2 linked regions of the Oreochromis niloticus genome follow. The protein of the gene in region 1 purifies or fractionates together with the protein of each later gene. This does not show direct contact. Links are inferred from orthologs where the notes say so. Each region holds a gene or a part of one and is shown on either strand. Other genes may lie near its edges.

The links. Proteins that work in one complex are often made in the same cells at the same time.
Region 2: the proteins of hscb (region 1) and sdhaf1 purify together in Homo sapiens (co-immunoprecipitation; 3 studies listed by BioGRID and IntAct, with this or other methods). This does not show direct contact. The link is inferred for Oreochromis niloticus from reciprocal best matches to the Homo sapiens genes HSCB and SDHAF1.

What each region holds. Positions count from the first base shown.
Region 1 is NC_031977.2:29,299,058-29,306,344, reverse strand, and holds the start of hscb (iron-sulfur cluster co-chaperone protein HscB), read right to left. Parts: upstream 3,011-7,287; 5' UTR 2,872-3,010; coding exon 2,504-2,871; intron 2,409-2,503; coding exon 2,312-2,408; intron 1-2,311. Other genes in the region: lrrc8ab (volume-regulated anion channel subunit LRRC8A), read left to right, coding at 7,007-7,287.
Region 2 is NC_031977.2:38,180,991-38,188,998, reverse strand, and holds the start of sdhaf1 (succinate dehydrogenase assembly factor 1, mitochondrial), read left to right. Parts: upstream 1-4,990; 5' UTR 4,991-5,131; exon of another isoform or gene 5,132-5,174; intron 5,175-5,245; 5' UTR 5,246-5,404; intron 5,405-6,843; 5' UTR 6,844-7,013; coding exon 7,014-7,262; 3' UTR 7,263-8,008. Other genes in the region: 8-oxo-dGDP phosphatase NUDT18, read right to left, coding at 4,308-4,418, 4,504-4,674.

The DNA of each region.
Region 1 (7,287 bases):
AAACATGGACATCACCAAATGCTGTTTCTCCCATTGAGACCCTCTGCTAGTCTTAACTACTCACTTCCTGCTTGTTTGTACGTCTCTCCCTTCCATTTTATCTTCATTTAATGAAAAGCATGCTCTTCTATGTTGAGATCAGGTGACTCACTTGGCCATTGAAGAATCTCCCATTCTTTTGCCTTGAGAAGTTCTTGGGTTGCATTTGCACTATGTTTATCTGTTATCTGTTAGATGCTTGATCAGTAAACACTTGTGGGGCATATTATGTTCCTTCCAGTAACACTGCGTCTACCATGTTTGGCAGATGACGAGCCATTTCTCTTCCTATTATGACTTCCTTGTTCTTGAGTGTAACCAGTGTTTTGCATCTTGTTGTAAACCCATTCATGAGGGCATCTCTTGATTGTAGACTTTGACAATGATATTGCTAGATATAACAAAAGCGGTTTTCTTACCAAGTAAAGAGATCTACCATCTACTATAGTTGCCTTCCATGGTCCATCAAGGCTTTTGGTGTTGTTCAGCTGGCCAGTGCTTTTCTAATTTTTCATTTTCTTTTTTGAGTATTATGGTGACCCTATTTACTTGCAGCAATCTGACATCATATTAAGAACTCCAGTGAAAATCTACTAGATATTAGTTCAAAACTTTGAATGAATGTCAGATATTATATCTACTTAAAGTTTCATAAAATACACAAGGAATCAACCTCACCCTCACCATGACTGTGATTGTCAATCAACTGTCCAATTACTTATGAGCATCTGAAAATGCCAAAGCAGGTAATGCAATACTTTGTATTAAACCCATTGAATCAAAGTTGAAAGTTGAAAGGTGTCATTTTAACAGTTTTAAACATCTAAAATCTACCTTGGTGGTGCACAGAGGCCAAATTAAAAAGACTGACATTGACTGAATACCGATGGAACTTCCTTAGTGTAATTAGAGTTTATATGGTAAATGTATAGCGCTTTACTAGTCCCTAAGGACCCCAAGGCACTTTACACATCCAGTCATCCACCCATTCACACACTGGTGATGGCAAGCTACATCGTAGCCACAGCCACCCTGGGGCGCACTGACAGAGGCAAGGCTGCCGGACACTGGCGCCACCGGGCCCTCTGACCACCACCAGTAGGCAACGGGTGAAGTGTCTTGCCCAAAGACACAACGACCGAGACTGTCCAAGCCGGGGGTCGAACCGGCAACCTTCTGATTACAAGGCGAACTCCCAACTCTTGAGCCACGATCGCCCCATATAATGGGTCAATATACACAAACACAATCAGGACTGTTTTCACAATTAAATAATTGTTTCAGTGATCTTATTAAGCCAAACCGTCCAAATTTATTTGACTAATTAAGAAAATACTCAGCATATAAAACATCTTAATAGTCACAAGATCTTACCCCCTTTTTTCACTTTATTATTTTCAGGGGAACAATCTCAGCTACTTACTTTTCCTAATCTATCCAAATAAACTCCTAAGTCACAATTTAGCAGCTTGTGATCAAACCTTTTATCCTGGTGGGAGTTAGAAAGTGTCCATGCATAAGGCAAGATGAGTAATTGAATGAAAACTTCTAAACCAAAGTTAACTTTTGCTTTCTTAACCTGTATAAATATTTAATATATTTAATATACCTCTGTTTTTATTATTTTAGATTTTGCAGTTATAATGTAAAATGTTTTGGAAAGCAGGTCCTAGTAGGCACTTTTACATTTCACAGCAGGAAAGGCACAAGTGTAATTATCAACATAAATAACATAAACTCATGTTGGCTTACTGGAGTTGCCTCCTGGTTTTCATAGCTGAAATAAGCAGCCATGAATCTCTTCACATACACTGATGCAATTCAACATGTAAAGCTGTTTATATTACTAGACTGTCCATTTATACACTACCCCCCCCCGGCCCCCTTTTTATACCCCTTTTGTATTTTTCCCTGAGAAGCAAATGCTTGTTCATCTACACTGCTATTTAGTTTCAATTCCTTAAACTTGCTTCCTATGCCTTGAGCTTGCTTGGTAGCTTAACACAAACCAAGTTCCCTAACCAGGCCCTACATTTGTCAGTGTCTTTTAACAAGCCCATCTTTCTTACTTTGCCCAGAGTTACTCCCATGGCCAAGTCACAATGAATTATCATGACAAAACAAAAATGCACACACAAGTGGACAAATGGGGACAAGGGGTCAGACCCAATTTCCTGTGTCACAGGGCAACTAATAGAAAGGAAAGTGTTCTCTGACTCATAGACCATCTCACTCAGCAGATCTCTATTCCCCTTACATTCCCCCTCCCTACCATAGATTTCTGGCTGAAGTTGTCTGGATGAAGAGACCGCTGGAGCTGCAAGTATGTTTTCTGCAGCTTTTGTGTGTCCAGTGTGAATGTGTAGTCACTGAAAAAGGTAACACATGATAAAATGAATAGACTGGATTCATTTGGAAAGCTTTTTAAGATGGTGACATATGTTAAGGTAAACAAGAAACTCACCAATCCATGATCTTGAAGTAGGATGTCCCTTCTACAGGGGGCTGCACTGCTTTGCATGACACGCAGAAAAATGCAGGTCTTTTGTCAAGAAGATGCTTACAGTTCCAGCAGTTCAATTTAATTTGACTTGTGCAGCAATTCCTGGGTGAAGCGGATTGATTAGTGAAGTAAAACAGCTCTCTCTCCTTTCTGAGTGCTCTGAAGTTCATGTTGCTGTGCCATGTGCCCCTCCTGTGGAGGCTGGTAGACATACTGTAAGCTGTACATGTAACAGCTTTAGAAACAAGCAATCGGTTGGTGGTTAGCCAGCTTGGGTGCAGTACAGCCCGGGATGAGCCAACAATCCTCAAAGAGTTGACAGACAACATTTCTGGAATTAAAATGCACTACTCGCTGTCGTGCACTCAATAAATACACAAAATGTTCACTGTCAAAACACATCTCTTTCCGGAAAAACAAACGAAGAAGAGCGTTCTTCTTCTACGTTTTGTAACACTGTCACACTGCCGCCGCTCGGTGGGTTTCGAGTTCTTGATGGAAAACCAACAGCTAGCTGGCAACAGCAAACGCAATTTGTGAGGAACTATTGATAAAGTAGCCTTAGTTTTGGACGCAGCACACCAATTGAAGTAAGCTGAACACCTCACAAAATGTTCAGTGTTTGTTAGTAGTGTACTAGTGTCGTTTTAGGTGCGGCTTTTGCCGAGGATGTAACGATAACAAGAACCCCTGGTCTGCATGTAGCTAGCTTAGCTCACTAGCTGAACAGTATAGCTTAGTTTGCGAACATGTCTTAACAACAAAAAGCCTTTATTCGTGGTCGGTACTGACAAATAAGCTGGTTGTTGTCAGATTCCAGTTCACGGCCTTAAAAACAGCGTTTCATGTTATTTAAGGGCACATGTGAAGAAAAAAAGCACCCGGGTTTAACTTTATGTTGAGTAGCTTGCTCAGCTAGCTGGATGACAAAGGCATCCCATGTTATGGTTGAGCGGTGACAAAAACAAATTCAAACTAGCTTATTTTTATTATTATTTTAAATAATCACCCATTTAAGAAGCATCAGCTTAAAACATCACTTAATGCACGCTTGCGTAACTTTAATTGCCTTTTTCAGAAAGTCTAGAAAACTGCATTTTCATACCAATTGGGTTGTTTTGTTTTTTTCTTTCAGATTCAACTGCATTCTGACAAAAGAGGCAATGCTTCATGAAGAGTTCTGGATACTCAGTGAGTGGCTAGTCCGCCAAGGACATCATCAGGCACTGGAGCACAGATAACACCTCCAAACTTGTGAGTATTTTATTGACTAAGAGTACTTGTTGCTGCTTCATCGTCCAAGAGTACTTGTTGCTGCTTCATCGTCCATCCATACAGGCGGTCGCAATACAACAGCTGCTAGCTGTGTGAAGAAAAAAAATTCTCTGAACACTGGCCAGTGTAAATATGCTTATTTGGCCAAGAATCAGACTAGGCGTCTCGACTATTTGTCATTACAGTTTCCTACCAAAGTACAAGCTCTGTGATGAATGCCAGGTCTTCATTCTTGGTGTGTGTGTGTGTGTGTGTGTGTGTGTGTGTGTGTGTGTGTGTGTTTTTGGGAGGGTGCAAAAGCTGACTGTAGAGTATTCCAGAGAGACACTTGTTGGAGACAGCAGCTTCTATAAGGTAAACAGGATCTCTTCCTGAAGGTCGAGGGAGGTACTTCTCAAGGCCCCCACAGACAATACTCTGGGTATTATTAACGGAAACCGCTAAGAATAGAGAGCAGGGGAGCAAGGTGGCTCCTCTGGCGGTCACGTTGTTTGGGTTAAACAAGCCAAAACGGAACATCTTCTTAAGAAGAGTGACTTCTCGAGCTTTCATGCTGGGTGTGGCAATTTAGAGGGCTTTATCTGGCTCTGATGTACAGCAGAGGTAAGGGAGATTAGTTGTGGATTGCTCTTGGCTGTTTATGTATGGAGGACTTGTGCTTTACAATTGGAATTTGTAAGTAAAACAAATTTTCATACCTAATAGGACATTGTTAACCTATCATTTTACATAAGCTATGTATTATGTGACTTTTTTTTCAATTTAAAAATAATAGTTTTGGCTTGTCCAGCAATATCCCCCAGACAATGCATTACCTACCTACTAAAGGAAAGAGTCTCTGTATGTTTTTGTGTCTGTTTACTCAAACATTCATCATAAGGAAGGTGATATATCCTAGTATTGGGACAAAATTTTCCTGCAATGCATTTTTGTACAAATTGCAAATGAATAAATAAATGAATACATACATGTATGTATTTACTCAGACATACATGTTTGAGTAATCATGTCTGGTATGTCATTACTTGTGTTTCATAAGTTTGTCAGTTATATTTGGATGATGAATTGATTTTGTGTTAATCAGCTGACTTCACTTTGTGTGATCTAAAATTTTTGAGGAGATATTACTTTTTATTGGAGTTTGACTAATCTATTCATGTTTCTTCTTTCTGAAGGAAAAATTATATCAGACAGTATATTGGAATTGGATCGGATTTTTTTGAATCACCAAATATTGGTATTAGTATTAGTACAACCAATACAAAGCTAATAGCAAAGAAATCAGAACGATGTTAAATGATAATTCAAAGGATTTAATAAAAAGTGTTGGATTACCTGTTTTGGCATTTTCAGATGCTCGCAAGTTACTCCTTTAACGATGTTAAAGGAGTAATTAGCAGTCGGGCTTATAACGCTATAGCCTCCAAAGTAGCATTGCTTTGGCTACAGCATTTTTCTCTTTGGATCCTATTTGGGCTGGCTTAATTATCTTTACTGTCACCTTTGTGTTAATACCTACATACTAAAAGAAACATCTTGAGTGTGCCCTTGTTAGAGTATGGGTTTGTGGCATTTTGTGGGACTGTAGCATAAGGTTTATGTTGTTAACTCATGGTAATGTGACAGTGTACATTATGTCATACCACCTTGTTAATAATGCAAAAGTTATATAATGAGCAGTGTAAGGAATTCCTTTCTTCAGCGAGTAAATATGTAACAAAGTGAATTCATTTTTAATTTTGGTGACTGTATCCACAGCAGCTTAGTAAGGCTGTCTGCGTGTATCTTCCATCCAATTTGAAATTGTCTCACATGCTGGATTATGAGCAACTCCACTATCTGTTATATCACCACAGTTGTGATGTAAAAACGAATGAGTAATGAAAGTCGAGTTTCTGTTTAATTATTTAGCAATGGTTATTACATTAACATGTGTATGTGCTTTGTTCAGTGAACGTATTCATGGCCACCCCACCATAAGAACAATTTAAATCTGTGGGTAACTGTTCAAAATTCACATTTTGAGGTTGGTTACACACTTAAATGATAAATGAACTGGAACTTATATGGTGCTTTTCTACTCAATTTGAACACTCAGAATGCTTTCTTTCAACAAGTCTCATTCACTCAAGCACATGCACATCCATACAGCACTTTTTATCTAATGTAAAAAGCATGAGTGAGTGGGCAACTTGTATTCAGTGTGTTTTCCTTTAGCAATACTGTTTTCCCCTAAAATAAGTCATTTTGTGACTTACTCATGCTTCGTAAATTACATTCCACATACAATTAAATTAAAATGTTTCTGAACTTGAGTGCCAAAATCTTTTAATATGCATTGAAAACCCTGCTTCATTAATTGGCTACATTACTTGTAGAGGCCGAAAACCCCATGTTAAACAGATGGATGAATCTCATGTTGTCTGATCACTGTATTATTGTAGGGTCTTTATCTTACAATGTAAATTGCCTTGAGGTGGCTGCTGTTGTGCCTGTTTTAGTTTTGGTACTCAGATTTTGTGTTATAATTGGCATCAGAATAGAGAAGTGGAATTTATGTATTATTACTGCTGACGAACAGTAATAATACAACCTCTCACGATTAACAAGTGTGAAATTACTGCCTGCCTAACTTAGTCATTTATCACGTTTACACCTTGCATACATATTGAAGGCAGCTGTTTCTTTGCCTGTATTTTTTTTTCTTAACATAGGCAGCCCATTAATACTTCACCTTAATCTTGTAGGAGTAACTTAAGATGCAGATAAATTTAATTTATATTTTATTGATTGCCATTTGGCCCTAACATTTGAAATGACTTGTCTGGTATGACAGTCCTTTGAAAGCAAGATTAATTGAGCCTGCTTAACAATAGGTAAATCAATAACATGGTAGTCCACCAAGTAAAGTTAAACACCAAAGTCTTTGTCACAATCGCTATTCATTACTCCTGACAGCCTTCAAATTAACCATGGTCAGCGTTCTGATGTGTGCCCTTGTTAGTTAGAATTATAGTATTGATTTTTCTGCTAGGTTTTTTGTCGTCGTTTAGGCAAAGGTTGCTTAAGCACTACAGGGAAGGAGTGTTTAATTTGTAAACAGACATTTCTGTATTGTTCTGATGTTTGACAGGGGTCTTTAATTCAATACATCACTGTCTACATTCTCTACGTTCCCACAGATAAACCATGATCCCCATCACCGAGCTGCGGTACTTTGTGGACACACAGCCAGCATACCGCATCCTGAAACCTTGGTGGGATGTCTTCACCGACTATATCTCTATTGTCATGCTCATGATTTCTGTTTTTGGGGGAACACTGCAGGTCACCCAGGACAAGATGATCTGCTTGCCCTGCAAATGGGTGGTCAATGAAACCTGCAAGAAGAACTTCAATTCAAGCATCACATCATCAGTGCCCAAAGGGATCCAGTATGATTTGGACCGCCACCAGTACAATTATGTTGA
Region 2 (8,008 bases), about 8.9 Mb from region 1:
TGCAAACCTGCTGCCGCACACTGTGATCCAACCCCAGCAAGCAACGGCTGAAATATGGCTGACTTGGACACTGTGTTACAGGAAATAAAAGACTTTCGCCAAGAAAACAGTGCAAAACTGGGGAGATGAAGGAAGAAATCCTAAAGGTGAGCGCCAGACTGGACGAGGCTGAGGGGAGGATCGAGAGCACCGAGGTTGCCATGATTGAAAAAATAAAGCTACAGGTGAAGGTGGAGGACAAACTGACAGACCTACAGAGCCTTTATGCTGTACCCGCGACAGCAGAGCGGGCTCTACAACAATGAGTGAGTTTGTTGAGAAGTTGCCGCGGGAAGGCCTGGGCTGTCCCAAGATAAACTTGACGTACGCATCGAACGGGCGCACCACCCCCAGGCGACGCTCCCCTGCGATCTATTATTGTGAAATTCCTCAGCTTCAAAACAAAGGAACTGCTGCTTCGTAAGGCATGGCAGAACAGAGGATTTACCTCCAACCACGTGAGTTTGGACCATGACTAACCCCCCGATTCTAAAAAAACCAAGAGAATACGCCAACGCGTGCAAGACTCTGAAAGAGCAGCAGATCCCCTCCAGCTTAGCTAAGGTGAAATATACCGATAAACAAAGATTTACAACACAGCGGTGGAAGCCATTAAGGACATGTCCAGTAGAGGCTACGCTGTGAAGATCGTTAAATCATCAGAAACAGCTTGTTTACAGAACCATCAGTGGATCAGGCAGAGACAGTAAGAACGGCAGGAGGGGACCAGAGAGTAGCACTGTTCACCGACGACCTACTACATCCTGTCCCACACAGGCACTCCCCAAAATCATGGAAATGCTCTCAGAGTTTCTCAGGATACAAGGTTAATGTAAACAAAACGCAGGTACTAACTCTAAACTACGATCCACCAATCGAAATTAAGAATCGCTGGAAATGGAAATTAGGTACGTAGGGGTGGTAATACATCGTGATGTCACCAAAATGTTTGATGCCAACTATGGTCCTGTGAATGAATCCATAAAATCTGATATAATGGAATACCATCCCTAATTGGACCTACACTCTAGGATTGAATCCATTAGATTAAACATGCTGCATTTGTTTCAGTCGTTACAGATTCCCACACCACAAAAAGGCCATTGATATGTCTCTGTTGTTTAGATTACACTGTGGGATGGAAAGATCTGGAAGGAACAAATGTTAAAGTAATACCAGCTACAGCTTTAATATCAGACACAAAGCTACAGAACAAAACAAACCTGCCAGATGAACCCATCCTACAAGTAATGATATCTGCTTGGAGTGAAGCAATAAGAATTTGTGGTTTGAAAATGCCTCTAAAGTCTTTAGATGGAGCATATATGACTCAGACTTTACCCTGAATCAGTGCGATAAGAGCTTCAGGAACTGGATTCCAAAAGGCCTAACTAATTATTATCATCTGTCCACAAGGGGGCGTTTCAAAGCTTTGAAACCTTAAGGAGAAAATATGATTTAAGCTCAGACGATTTCTTCAGATATCTACAGGTCAGAAATTATTTTAATCAAGACCTGAAAGTGAATATAAACAATCTACGATTTGTAGTAACATTTGTATCATTAACTAATTCTGGAGCACACAATAAAATCATTTCCAGATTATACAACAGCATCCTGTGTAAAAACAAAAGCACTGTTTGTTAAAGTGAAGTGGGGGAAAAAAGCTAACCTGACCATTTCAGAGGAGTGCTGGGACCACATATGCATACAGTGGACTACCACTGTTGTTTGGCGTGAATTTTGCTGGAAAAGCATCATGAGATTCTTCATCCCCCTGCTCAGAAAAGGTATCTGGGAACTGGTGACACTTGTTGGAGATGTGGAGGAGATGGTGCTAACCATTTCCATAATTCCTGGGACTGCCGGATGTGAGTAAACAGGCCCTCACGAGGAGATGGTTCAAGCCTGACTGAAGACTGGATATATTCTGTAGAAGACATCTATACCATGGAAAAACTGTCTTTCTCTCTCAAAGTGCAGACGGATACCTTCTACAGAATATGTTTGAGCCTGTGAGGTGGGATTTTCTATCAAGCCTGCCACTTTTATGCTCGTGCACTGATTGAAATACCCATGCTAATAACGCGAAGCTAACTTGGCTACCCCACTACCCCCAACCCAAGTTCTTACGGGGGGGGTTTTCAACTATAAGTTTACAAATCTGAAAGCAAAAGCAATGTAGAGAGTCATACTACTGTTATGTTCAATGTACTTTCTTACAGTTTTTTCTGAATGCTTAAACCCTAACTGTGATTCTTATAGCACAATTTCTAAAACTATTAATACTTATGGCAAAACCACTCACTGAGTTTGCAAAACTAAAAGCACAAACACTGCTTTGCACTCAGTTTGCCATTTTGTAACACACACTTTGCAAACCTGTAGCTACAATCCACTGCACAGCACTCTTTTTGCAGAACTGTAAACACACAACTCACGGCTTTACACTCAATTTCCAAATGATCAACACACTCCTAGCAAAACTTTACACATTTATAGCCATTATTTACACTATTTTGCCAACTGTCTGGCACACTGTCACATGTGAAAACTTTTTTAGATCATTAGATCACTTTGCAATCAGCCTAAGCACTTTAAATAAGCTACAGGTAAGCTCTGTGTGTGTGGAGTACAATGGAGGGAGCAGGAAGAGTGAGAATTAGAGGAGGCCAACGGGTTCAGCCTAACTCGAGCCGCTACACTGTAGCAAGCATCATAAGGACATTTTGAAATGAGAGTCGGTTAGTACAGTCACTTTGCACTAAGATCTGTAGCACTGCCATGCTAATGAGAAACACAACAATACCATAGATGTAAAAATACTGAAATTGTTACTTTACAGAATTGCTAGACGACCAGATGCTGGGAGCAGAGGAAGCATGTTCACTGCAGACCAAGAAACCCATATAGTCAATATGGTGATTGGAAATAATCCTATACTTGGAAATAAACACTTGTGTTTGTTTTGATGTGTGTGAATAAACAGCAGTACTTGAAGTTTGGATCCCTCTATGCTTACGGATCTATGACAAAAGTATGAGCTCAATCTGACATAGCCTACCTTGTGCACAGAGAAAGCAAAAGCCAGATGTGTTTTCATTCATACCATCAGTGTGTAGTTGGTGCATTGTGTGCTTATTAATATGATGGCTTGTGTTAACTGTTGGATACGAAAATACCATTTTTACAAAGGTGTGGAGAGTTAAGCAAAGGTTATTCGCTTTTACAAGGAAACTACAATGTTTTGCTGATTGGGTGAAGAGTTTTCTTATTTGTGTGTAGAGTTTTGCAAAAATAGCCAATAGTTACAAAAAATGTGCTTAAGCCATCAGAAAAAACTGTAATAAAAGAGTTTTTTTTTAAAAAAGAAAAAACTGAAACACCAAAACCTGCAGTTCCTCTAACGTCCACCTGGGGCTCCACCAGCGAGTTATTCCCATAGACTCCAATGTTAAAAAGGTTCAAAACAAGCAAAGCCTCTGATTATGATTTTTCAGACATTTTATTGATATACAAAAAACAAACATGTTCACACAGGTGACATAACACTGATGTTAAAGCCAGATCACTCCTCCTCCTCGCCCCCTGATCTCTGTAAAGCAGTGTTGTTCTGTCAGGGCAAGCAAGGAAGGCGGTGCTTACCCAATGAAAAAACAAACTGTTATTTCAGTATTTTGACTTTTTCAACCTTAAGTGACCGTATTTGGCATATCTTGGTTAGAAAGTTGGCAAGCTGCATTCACAGAGCTTATGCAAACATCACACAAACACATATCTGCTAATCAGTGCTCAGTAATATCTGAACTGTAGCTCCGCCTCCTTGGATGCTCTGTTTTAACAGTGACCTCACAGCAGGCATATTATTGGTCACATGATGTCATTAAAAAGCTCCAAAAGGGTCCAACAGCACAAACAGGGTCCAGGGGTCCAGTTCAGGGACTCCCATTAGTTAAGGTGAAGCCTAGCAGACAGCTAGCTGCTACAGCCACCTGTACCACCATCTACCTGTCAGTCAAAGAGGCCACGCCTCTAATAATGCAAACTTTAAGCCTGAATACAATTTGAACAGGTGAGTAATAGAAACGCTCTTCCGTGTACAGCTGTTATGAAGGAGTATATGATCCACAGAGACCAAACTGTTTGTGTATCAGGCTGTAAACAGGTTTGTTTTAACATGGGAGTCTATGGGGCCTGACTCGCTGCTCCCCCTGCTGGACGCTGGAGGAGCTGCAGCTTCTTACTCTTACAGGCTCCTCCTCACTCACCTCCCTCTTCATCGCCTCCTCCAGGCTCTCCCCCACCTCCACCCTCCCAGCAGGAAGATACCACTGTTTGTAACAGTCCGGTTTGGCCTCCTGGACCATCAGCACCTCCTCCTGAAGGAGTGTTAATTAATTAAATAAGCAATCATTTAAGGGTATTGATGAGACGGAGTGGCTACCTGTGGTGACCTCTGTTCACCTTCTCATTGAAGATGACAGCACAGACGATGTAGGTGACGTTCTTCCTCAGGGTGGCGGGTTTGCTCTGCTCCAGGCCCACATCACACACAGTGACCTCTGACCCCTGCCCACTTAAAAGCCTCTCCACCTGCTCCTCCACCTGCTGCTGTTCCTCAGCTGTCATCTCCATGTCTGTAAGAGGAAGAACAGAGAGCGTCTTCATCAGCTAAAAAAAACACCGCAGAGCTCGAGGCTGTGATTGCAAGCGCGCGGAGGCTCACCTGTGATCCAGGTGTGGTGTTTCTGGTGTCTACCAGGTGTGACAGACGCTGGGAGAGCTTCCTCTCTTACTGTCGGATCTGAATCCTGAAAACTGTAGTTCACTAAAAGTACTTCGTTACTTTCTCCGCAGGTACCGGCGTCATAAATCGCCGAAGCCTTCCCCCCGGAAACAGATGCCGGTGATAAAAGCACGAGCCCCCCTCCTTCAGCTCGCCTGTCTTGACATTTGACTCCAGAAGGTGACACCGGAAGTGCTACTAATCTTCCTGTTCCGCGCCGCCGCAGTAAGAGCTTTTAACCCACTCGAACAGCCCCCCCCCCACGGGCGCTTTGGACGGTCCAGATTCAGATAAACACATCAGAAGGTAACTGAGCTCTAACCAATCAGGAGCAGCGTTCTTAAAACGGGTATGAGCTTTAATTTGTCTGTGTGCGTGCTTTATTGTGAAAATCTGACCCGGAAATCACGTGTTTTGTAGTTTGTCCTGGTCGTTGCGGCTGAGGCCGGTGTTATAACGCAGTAAGGTCACAGAGGAGCTGCTCACAGAGAGCCGGGAGACGTACCTGTGACGGTGGAATAGGACAAACAGGTGAAGCAGCGGAGCCGGTCCGAACCGGTCTGAGCGGAACTCCGTCAGGTAAACAGGAAGTTGAACTGATCGCTCTCACTGATCAATCCTCTGAGGTCCAGCAGCCGCTGGTGTTGTGCCAAAGACTGATTTCCAATGTTTCCGTGTATTTTTTATGTGTAATATCTTTACGTATGTTGGTAAATAGACTTCGGTGAACAGCGTTTACAAAGGGGTTTTATATAGAATTAAAATATTATCTGTTTTTCAAGTATCTTTACAACTCTGTGTTATTGTACTTACATTATAACCAATCCGCTCCTTTATCCCCACTTAAAATATTTTTACAGAACTATTGTAATATTTGCTGCCATCTCTGCTGTCCTGTTGGCCAACTTACTCTTACAAAAGACATTTTTAATGTTAATGAGATTCTTTTTAACTGCATAAATAAAGGTTATATAAAAGTCACTGGCAAAAACTGACTGCAGCTTCTACCTTGGTACACAAATGTTGTTTGTGGCTCCAGATGACTTTATGTCATCCATGAGGGATGCATTTGACATATGTTTCACATATTATAGCCCAACAAGTTACTTATAGCAGTTTAAATACGAGCAATCAGTTTTTGGCAAATACCGGCTGTGGGTTACTTTCATAAGCCATAGCTACTGGTAATACTGCGTGTAGTACTATAATATAAGTAATGCTAATACTACTGTATGTGTTACTGTAAAAACTGTTACTCAGGAGGGTCAAAGGATGGGCATCCAATCAGAATCCAAAGATCACTTATTCATGTTATTTTAGCTGAAATGTGTTTTAGCGAGAGACAGACACACCTAAACTCTGTTGTTGTTATAACGTGTGCCAGGTGAGTTCAATTATCACAGAAACCAATCAGGGATGAGAAAATCAGGAGAGGCAGTCAGGTAAAAAAAAAAAAGTACGGAGGAAGAGTCTTTACTGAAATAAAAACGTGCTTTTACGTGCAGGTCGACACCTGTGTGAACAGTCTGGGCTCACGTGCACGTTCATGCTTGTGCAGGAATATGAAACACACATAAGTACAGCTGTGTTTGTGTTGTTAGATCTGTGCCTTTGTTAAAGATCAGAAACAGCGAGAGCCAAAAACGTGTTCCTTCATCAGAACTCCAGTGAATGCATTCTGAATAAAAACAAGCAGGTAAAAGGAGAAGATTTGTTATATTCAGTCTGGCTCAGGGGAAACTGTGCTGCTGTTGACCGAAGTCCGAGGAGGAGAGGAGGAAGGCATGTTAGGAGGCTGAGAGAGAGAACATGAGATAAAGAAGGATTATTTTGAACTTTGATTGATGCAAAGCTGTTCTTGCAGGATTCAAATGTGGAGCTGCAGGTGAGCAGATGCCTTCTGTCGTGTCTTCAAGGTGTCAGTTTCTCCTGTGGGAGAATAAAACTAGCGACCGTGACGTGATGAATCTGCCTGAATGCTGTTTTGTTGTTCGGTTCTCTTTGTGTTCTTCCTGCAGGCAAACATCTTCTTTAAGACCCTGAATGAGAAGAAACGGGTGAAGCTGAGCCTCGTGGTGTGTTCAGAGTGGACGTGTGAGGGAGTGCAGCCGGAGACACGCCGGTGTTGGAGCGTCATGTGTGCGTAGCTGCCCTCTGATTGGACTCTTGTCTCTGCTGACTCGGTCTGATGTTGCGGCACAGTAAGCTGCAGAAGCAGGTCCTCGCTCTGTACCGGCAGTTCCTGCGAGCCGGGCGGGACAAACCGGGCTTCGTCCCCCGAATCCGCGACGAGTTCAGAGAGAACTCCCGCATCAAGAAGACGGACGTGATGCACATCGAGTATCTGTACCGACGGGGCCAGCGGCAGCTGGAGCAGCTGAGGGACGTCAACACCAAACAGCTGGGCTCCTTCTCCAAACCCAAAGAGTGCGGCTGAAACCGTGTGACCTCTGAATCGCACTGCCGTACCTCTGAAAGACGCCGGCGCCATCAAACTGCTGCCATCGTGCTCAGGAGACGGGCTATGAAGGCCGCAGCAGCGATAGAAGCTGCAGTGAAACAAATGTTGACAGTAATGAATTTTATCTGATGTCTGTAACAATAAAACGTGTCTGTGATGAAGACGAACTCATATTCTTCATATTCATGTTTAAGAAACTCAAAACCATCAGAGTTAATCTGTTAATGTGTTGATGACGGTCAGGCTTCATGTCTCCCTCTGAAATATCATTCATATTGTTCTTCATGCGTCTGCACTGCATTCTGGGTAGATGAAGAGTCATGTGACTATTTTTTTTTTTCAGGAATTAAAAAGAAAATTAAAAAGTTTGTTTCCAGGGGAACTGAAACGAGGGAAATCAGGTGTTTTAGTTTTTACACAGAAAATTGTTTAAAGGAGCTTAAATGGAGTCAGAGCAGGAGTGGGTTTAAAAAATCAGTCGATTTTAGTTTGAAGAAAGTGATTTCGATGCATTAAATCCTGAATCGATTTTTAAATGTAAATGTATTTTGCTAGAAACGCTAAAATCTCAGGTTAAATCTCACAAAACTATTTCAACAACCAGCAAACAGCCAAAACGGTAAACGAGAGCCGAAACATGTAAACAGAGAGCGTGGATCATTCACCTGACGTCACGGACGCGCCGTCAGGGCTGAAGAACGAAAGCTCAGTGATTCTGATGC